Linked DNA regions of Saccharomyces cerevisiae S288C. The protein of the gene in region 1 interacts with the protein of each later gene in a biochemical or structural test. Each region holds a gene or a part of one and is shown in the gene's direction. Other genes may lie near its edges.

Region 1 (5,419 bases):
AGTGCTTCGGAAGTTTCTACATGGGCCTTTAGGTATCGCATTACCCCATATCTTACCATGGATATACTTTATCATCTCAATTTGTTTGAAAAGCAGCCAATTGAGTGATCCAGTTAGTAAAGAATTCTGGATGATTATTGTTAAGAGAGCTTTTCCATGGGATACAATGGTTACCTTTATGAATGTTTTGATTGTGTATTTATTGGATAACCAAACATCGAACTCTATTATTGGAGATTTATGCGATGACTACGATAAATTAAGCCTTTCTGAACTTTTAGAATTATTCAATGAAGGCGAAGAATTACCAGAAATTTTGGGCTGTTGGGGAACATTGTGGTTTGACACAATTTGCGAAAAGAATACGCATTCGATTAGTAGTGAAGATAATTTTCAAGAAATCGGTATAAAAGATTATATGGCATTGGATTCGCCGACAGATGGAATTATATTTGATGAAAAGGACGAAAATGGTGAAAAATTCTGGAAAAGGGCATGCAGAACCATATTTCTTTTTAGAGAGCTGTCAAGAAGTTTTCCAATAGGCGTAATAATCAGAAACGATCCGTTGATATATCGTTCATCATTTCAAAATACTAATATATTGGGAAGTTTAGTCTTCAAACTCGAACCCTTGTGCAATATACACAACAATATACCAGTATTAGGTGCCCTGGAAAGTATTATTGACATATCTGAGGCAAGAAGTGAAAACAACACTGATCTGCACGCTGTGCCGGAACTAAGTGTCAACGAGGGCGATAATATCTTCCACTATGTTGGCTACAAGAAACTTCGTGCCGATTATACGTGCTTCGATAAAAATGGAGAATTTTTAAGCGCCTCGCTTTACACTACATGGTATGTCCCGAACAGCAACAACACTAACATAGAGGACAACATCAATTATAACAGCGAAAAGGAAAATGAAGGTCTATTTCTGGAATGTATAAAATCTGATTATCCAGAAATAGATTTTAAAACTACATACTTTGTCTTTGATGCAACTTCTTGGCTAAGACATTCCGCACGCATATTCAAGCTAGCTCAAAACAGACTGCTAAGATTTGCCATTTGTTTAACCACATTCCAAGAGCTGAGATTTTTACGAAAGTCAAAGGACGAAAACGTCATGGAGGCTGCCACAAGAGGTATAATAACTATAAGGCAGCTTTACTATGAGAATAAAGTATTACCCCTAAGATTCACAGGTAATGTAGCGACACACATCGAAGAGAACTTAGAATTTGAAGAACAAATAACATGGAGGACACATGTCGACGAGTTTGTCATCGAATCCGTAATGAAGGCGCAAGAAAAACTAGAGAGTGCCAGCGAACCGCGTCTTTCCCCTCGCCGCTTTAACTACGTAGTTCTGATATCTGACGACGACGCCATGAAGAAAAAAGCAGAAGAAAAAGAAATAAAAACGCTAAGCACACGATTTGTGTTTTCTTTGTGCACAAAACTTGGCGAACAGCGCCATCTGTGTACAGACTGATCGTTCGTTGTACGTACATTTACAACAACACCAATTCTACTCACCGCCATAAATAACACTTTAATTTTAATATATACTTTTATATGCATATAACCAACTGACTTCCATACAATTCTGACCAGAGCACTTGGGCAGAGCCCCCACCCAGGGCCTTGTCGGAAAAAATCGGAATATCCCACACGATCCACCGGAGAATATCGGGACGCTGACGGGTGAATGGAGATCTGGATTTCCTAATTTGGATACATCTCTTTTCTTTTTTTGACTCACAATAGGAAAAAACCGAGCTTCCTTTCATCCGGCGCGGCTGTGTTCTACATATCACTGAAGCTCCGGGTATTTTAAGTTATACAAGGGAAAGATGCCGGCTAGACTAGCAAGTTTTAGGCTGCTTAACATTATGGATAGGCGGATAAAGGGCCCAAACAGGATTGTAAAGCTTAGACGCTTCTGGTTGGACAATGGTACGTTTGTGTATTAAGTAAGGCTTGGCTGGGGATAGCAACATTGGGCAGAGTATAGAAGACCACAAAAAAAAGGTATATAAGGGCAGAGAAGTCTTTGTAATGTGTGTAACTTCTCTTCCATGTGTAATCAGTATTTCTACTTACTTCTTAAATATACAGAAGTAAGACAGATAACCAACAGCCTTTCCCAGATATACATATATATCTTTATTTCAGCTTAAACAATAATTATATTTGTTTAACTCAAAAATAAAAAAAAAAAACCAAACTCACGCAACTAATTATTCCATAATAAAATAACAACATGTCCCCTTCTAAAATGAATGCTACAGTAGGATCTACTTCCGAAGTTGAACAAAAAATCAGACAAGAATTGGCTCTTAGTGACGAAGTCACCACCATCAGACGCAATGCTCCAGCTGCCGTTTTGTATGAAGATGGTCTAAAAGAAAATAAAACTGTCATTTCATCAAGCGGTGCATTGATCGCTTATTCCGGTGTTAAAACCGGAAGATCTCCAAAGGACAAACGTATTGTTGAAGAACCTACCTCGAAAGACGAAATTTGGTGGGGTCCGGTCAATAAACCATGTTCTGAAAGAACATGGTCTATCAACCGTGAAAGAGCTGCAGATTACTTGAGAACAAGAGACCACATTTATATTGTCGATGCATTTGCAGGATGGGATCCAAAATACAGAATCAAAGTCCGCGTTGTTTGTGCCAGGGCTTACCACGCTTTATTCATGACAAATATGCTTATTAGACCTACAGAAGAAGAATTAGCCCATTTTGGAGAACCTGATTTTACTGTCTGGAACGCTGGTCAGTTCCCAGCCAATTTACACACCCAGGATATGTCTTCAAAGAGTACTATAGAAATTAACTTCAAAGCAATGGAAATGATCATTTTAGGTACCGAATACGCCGGTGAAATGAAAAAAGGTATTTTCACAGTTATGTTTTACTTGATGCCTGTGCACCATAACGTTTTAACTTTGCACTCTTCCGCCAACCAGGGTATTCAAAACGGTGACGTTACTTTATTCTTTGGCCTAAGTGGTACCGGGAAAACCACTTTATCCGCAGACCCACATAGATTGTTGATCGGCGATGATGAACATTGTTGGTCCGACCATGGTGTCTTCAATATCGAAGGTGGTTGTTACGCCAAGTGTATTAATTTATCTGCCGAAAAGGAGCCTGAAATTTTCGACGCTATCAAGTTTGGTTCTGTATTAGAAAACGTTATCTATGACGAGAAGTCGCATGTAGTCGACTATGACGACTCTTCTATTACTGAAAATACTAGATGTGCCTACCCAATTGACTACATTCCAAGTGCCAAGATTCCATGTTTGGCGGACTCTCATCCAAAGAACATTATCCTGCTAACTTGTGATGCTTCGGGTGTTTTACCACCAGTATCTAAATTGACTCCTGAACAAGTCATGTACCATTTCATCTCTGGTTACACTTCTAAAATGGCTGGTACTGAGCAAGGTGTCACTGAACCTGAACCAACATTTTCATCTTGTTTCGGACAACCCTTCCTAGCCTTGCACCCTATTAGATACGCAACCATGTTAGCTACAAAGATGTCTCAACATAAAGCTAATGCGTACTTAATCAACACCGGCTGGACTGGTTCTTCCTACGTATCTGGTGGTAAACGTTGCCCATTGAAGTACACAAGGGCCATTCTGGATTCTATTCATGATGGTTCGTTAGCCAATGAAACGTACGAAACTTTACCGATTTTCAATCTTCAAGTACCTACCAAGGTTAACGGTGTTCCAGCTGAGCTTTTGAATCCTGCTAAAAACTGGTCTCAAGGTGAATCCAAATACAGAGGTGCAGTTACCAACTTGGCCAACTTGTTTGTTCAAAATTTCAAGATTTATCAAGACAGAGCCACACCAGATGTATTAGCCGCTGGTCCTCAATTCGAGTAAACGAAACATGTTCGTTCGATATGTTCAATCCAAAAAAAAAAAAAAGAATTAGAATTATTTCGACATCATAAATGTTCGTAATATATTATTTTGTCAATTTTTTCTCTTCCCATTTCAGCTTTTTTTTAATAACTGAAACTGGATCAACAAGCACATGTTTTTCTAATTAATCTTTCAAACATATTTATGTATATACATAAGGAAAATTCAAAAATCCGATGCAATTAACAGAATTCTTCTTCATAGTTCTCTTCATCCATTCTTTCGTAGAATAAGACGTATACCTCATCGCTAGACATTTCTGTTTTGCCGGCTTCAAAGTTGTTGCGATCCTTGCGATGTTGCTGTATATAATCGTCATCAAATGTAACCCAAACTTGTCTATTCAGTCCAATTTCATGGCTCTTTTCTTTGTTCACAACAGAAGTATAGTGTCCATTGATAAGGTTACCGGAATGATTCACCGTTCCATATAACTTGTATCGAATCACTTTACCGTTCTTTAAAATAATGTTCAATATCAAAGGGTAGGTTATTACAGTGCTGTTTTTTTTTGTTAAATCATAATAGAACCTTGATAAATGAATGACAAGTATCGGAGGTAAAACTATAAAGTCTAAACTCTTAATCGTGGTTAACTTTTTAGAATTTCGCTTCTTTGCATTTTTTGTTGAATCATCGCTGCTATGGTGATGATGGTGATGATGGTGGGGTGATTTTGACCTTGATCTGGAATGAAAACCGAATATGGTTGATTTTTTCTTCTGGCTAGTAATTTCTTCTTTTTTGGATTTAGAATCAGTAATTCTACAATTAGGACAATCCCAAGCATTGTCGCCTGACAGTTCTTCATCGCCTGTAAATAAGTTTATGCAATCCTCTAATTTAATTTTTCTCGACTTACTTGTAAAGCTATACAATGATAGTTTTGGAATCGCAAGTGACAGAACATAGAAGGTAGAATAGCTATAAGAAGAATTACCACAGCGCTGACATTTCAAAATGTTCTCCAACTGCCCTCGATATATGTGATCAATTGGAGATAAACCATCAGTAATAACATTTCTCTCGTACCATTTCTCGTATTTGGATGGGTTAACTTGTAAAGCATTCGCATCATATGACACTAGATCTGGATAATACTTGACAACATTTTCGTTCGAGAGCTCTTCATGTATTCGTGCTAAAACTATTAGTAGAAATTCCTGTGTATCCTGTTGATCATCTGGGATGTTCAAATCTGGCCTTAACTTCTTGCACATTTTTAAGAATCTATTTGGTATAATCGCTCTTCCTCCATTCAAATACATTTTTTTGAACAAAACGTAAATCGAGCGGGAAAGTTGGACTTCTTTCGGATATTTGTTAGTATTGAGGAATAGCCTATATTTCTTGGTTAAAAACAAATCCCGAAATAAGGTAGTGCCAAACAGACATTGAATTATACTGTTAATATAGCATGTATTGCATGGATTTTGCAGGCCAGTAATAGATAAC
Region 2 (3,767 bases), on another chromosome or scaffold:
CCTCTTAAAACACCAACAAAATATGGGTTCTCCTCAGGGGTATGAAAGACTAATGGATAATCATGTTCTTCCCCATGATCAGGAACGGAGGACTCCTTGGGCAATTTCCAAACGTGCAAAGTGTTATCTCTCGAACCAGTAACAATGTACTTGATATTTTTATATTCTACTATATCTAGGCACCTCACCGTAGAGTTATGACCTTTAAACACATGGGTACAACAACCTTTCTTAATATCCCAAACTCGCACCGTTCTGTCTGTAGAACCGCTGACTAAAATACCGCCATGGGCATACTTCAATGCCCAAACCCCACCATCATGACCTGATAGTTGTAGAAGAAATTTCTTGTTTATCGAATCATAAACTCTGATCATTTTGTCATCAGCCCCCGTAATGACATAATTATCTTCAAATTGCAAGCACGTAATAACACTCGTCATATGGCCTCTTAACGTGGTCCTTTGTGGTACAAACTTGGGATTGTACCAATTTTTTAAAATGAATATATTCTCCAGAAAAGATAATCTAAGGCGATCTTGTTGTGAGAGTTTTGGGTATTTTTGGGAGAGTTTGAGATTGAGAGAATTAAAACCCTTTGGGCTCACAAAATTTTCCGATATCAGAAGTTTTTTCCACAACGATGTAGATTTTCTAATTATTTTGTTCCAATTTTGGGAGACCCCAAGGGAATTTATAATATCCTCGAATTGCAAATAATTGAAAATTTTCAAACTTATTTCAAAAGGCAAAGACGTTATTAGGTCCCTCTTTAAATTATCCTTGATTAAAGTCCCCAAGTCGGATAGTTCACTCCTATCCATGTTGGCAACTAATCTAAATAATAAATTTTTGAAGTATGCGTGAGGGAGATTATTGTTTATTGCGCTGAAAATCTCATCAGAAAGGTATTCAGGGGAGATTATAGAATCTTTGGATTCTATCAAATCGGCGATATTATTATTGTTGTTGATAGTTTTCGTAGTTTTAGCTAAAGGAGTTGTGGTACCTGGAGAGGAAGCAGTGGGTGATAACGGCAGCGCTCCTTCCTCCATAGGATTGTTAATAGTAGCACTATTAACATTGTTACTAACATCACTGCCAGTTATTGTTGCCGCATTGACGGTAGTGGGAGCAGCAACATTATGAGATGCCACTCCCATGTTTACACTCAATGTAGAAGGTGCGGCAGAACCATCATCCACAGACATCAAAAGTTTTTCTGCATCGTTGGATATATCTGTTAAATTGTGCAGACCGTCATTATCCACAGACGCTGCACCGGTGTTCTGTAAGTTAACTGGATGGAGGGTTTTGTGATTATCATGTTTTACCCTTTTGAAATCACTGCGTTCAGGAGTGGATTCGCCAGAACCAGCTGCTCTTTTCCTCTGATACTCATCGATATCTTCTTCGCCGTCTTCTGTCTCAACTGTCTTAGCCGTGGACGAGTTTCGATGAGTGCCAGCGGCAGTAACAAGCGCAGTAACACTACCTGAGGAAGCTATACCGCCAGACACACGGTAGCTATAAGGAACAGGGATATCACGTAATGGAAACTCAGCTAAGGGAAACGACCCCATCGTACAGCGTAATTTTTGCCTTTCTTTGATTCTTTATGCGTAATTTTCTTCGAACCGCAACAAGTTGAATGAGGAGAAGAAGAAGAGAATACTGTAAATAAACGTTTTTTTCCCAAAAAAGACACTATATTTTAAGCACACAGAAAAAGACACGCTTTGTTGAGCAATCTATATTCATATAACAGTGGTAATAGCCTTTCTCTCACAAGATATACAAGCGCTGTGACGTTTTAACGTATTCAGTATTATTTCAACAGGCTTTTTTGTTTCGTCCACCTGACCGAGCCGGCAGCTGGAAGAAAAAGTTTACTTTAGTCATGATAATCAAAAGACTCTTTCTGAATTGCTTTTATCACTCACTACAAGAGAGTCGATAAAAAAACCCAAAACATTTTAAAGTAATGGCTCAAAGTAAAAGTAATCCTCCTCAAGTGCCTTCTGGCTGGAAGGCTGTTTTTGATGATGAATACCAGACTTGGTATTATGTAGATTTATCTACGAACAGCTCTCAGTGGGAACCACCAAGGGGAACAACATGGCCAAGACCCAAAGGTCCTCCACCAGGTGTTAACAATGAGAAGAGTTCTCGTCAACAGGCAGACCAGGCTCCTCCACCTTATTCTTCTCAATCAACACCGCAAGTGCAAGCAGGGGCCCAAGCACAGCAACCTCGTTACTATCAGCCTCAACAGCCTCAGTACCCTCAATACCCTCAACAGCAGCGTTACTATCCTCAACAAGCCCCTATGCCAGCAGCAGCACCACAGCAAGCATACTATGGAACTGCGCCAAGCACCAGTAAAGGTAGTGGACACGGCGGTGCCATGATGGGTGGTTTACTTGGTGTTGGTGCGGGTTTGTTAGGTGGAGCTATGCTAGAACACGCATTTGACGACCACAACTATGACGGACCAGACACTGTCGTTGTCGAGAACAATTACTACGGTGATGATGCTGGTGGGTCCGACGGCGGATTTGATGATGCTGGTGGGTTCGACGGCGGATTTGATGATGGATTTGACGGTAGTGACTTTTAATGTTATCAAGACTTTTTGGACAAGGACGATAAAATGATATAAGCTCATCAAATCTATATTGCTTGCTGCCATCTAAATATGGATACATACAGATATATACTTGCAAAGATCGGTCCATTATACTACATAGAAAGCAATTAAAAGATAAAAAAACCCATCATGATATTCTACGCTTTTTTACTTAGCCATGTTGTTGAATGTAGCTTCAATTACTTCTGTCTGTCTAATTTATTGCTACTTTTTCACTTCTAAGTGAACCATCACAACACATATAGCATAGTCGAGAAAAAAATCAATAGCTATTACTAGATGATAGATACCGTATATGCCACCTACAGCTTACTAGAGAGCTTCCGGAATGATAGTATCATTTATCAAACTACCGGTATGGTTGTGTATTGACTGCGCCTCTCAATCTATGAAGCAGCACCACGCCTTATCGTGGCTATGCGCGATATGACCGAGCTTTACAACATACTTTTCAATAAGCCGTTCTTTGAATAATGGACCCTTTCCTATAACCTAGTGCGCGTTTAAGGTGTTTTGTTCCAATAATAGAAGCACCTATCCACATACTTCACATACAGATACACTAACTAATACCACCGATGAAGCGGAAACAATGATAAATGCAAAGCCTTGGAACATCGACAGGACTACCCGAAAATAATATGTGTGTTTACTAACAACGCAGTAATAAAGCTTTCATAACGGTAAAAAGAGGTAAGATCCTGTATAAACTGGTCTCTAGTTACTTATATCTCAAAACATTATATATGTCGATGGTACAAGTTTGACCTTACATTGCCTGATTTTTTCAGAAAGATAGCAGGTAGTTGTTATACTACAGTAATTTACTATAGCTAATCTTCATTTTAAAGTGCCCACTTCTTTTTTTTTTTGAAATTATTTCTGAGTAGTAGCTAGCTTATAAACTACTTATATGCATTTATTCACCGGCGTCGCAAATGTGTCCGTCTTATTTTTTTTAATTTTTTTTTCAATTTGTGACGCCATTAATAAAGGCTATTATATAAAACCAATCTCCATGAAATAGAAGTAAAGCATCAATCCATTATCTGTTGTTATTTCTGTTTACCAGAGTACAAGAATATTTAGAAATTATTTACTATCAACAATAACTAAT

What was found. Proteins that work in one complex are often made in the same cells at the same time.
Region 2: the proteins of PCK1 (region 1) and WWM1 interact in a test that uses a peptide from one of them, tested with the Saccharomyces cerevisiae proteins (one large-scale study listed by BioGRID).

Annotation. Positions count from the first base shown.
Region 1 is NC_001143.9:628,880-634,298, forward strand, and holds PCK1 (phosphoenolpyruvate carboxykinase PCK1), read left to right. Parts: upstream 1-2,272; coding exon 2,273-3,922; downstream 3,923-5,419. Other genes in the region: ESL2 (Esl2p), read left to right, coding at 1-1,501; ubiquitin-specific protease UBP11, read right to left, coding at 4,147-5,419.
Region 2 is NC_001138.5:113,961-117,727, reverse strand, and holds WWM1 (Wwm1p), read left to right. Parts: upstream 1-1,984; coding exon 1,985-2,620; downstream 2,621-3,767. Other genes in the region: SCF ubiquitin ligase complex subunit CDC4, read right to left, coding at 1-1,583; AUA1 (Aua1p), read right to left, coding at 2,454-2,738; hexose transporter HXT10, read right to left, coding at 3,743-3,767. UniProt on the Saccharomyces cerevisiae protein: Involved in apoptosis. May play a role in nuclear function controlling cellular proliferation coupled to mitochondrial biogenesis. Causes impaired growth when overexpressed.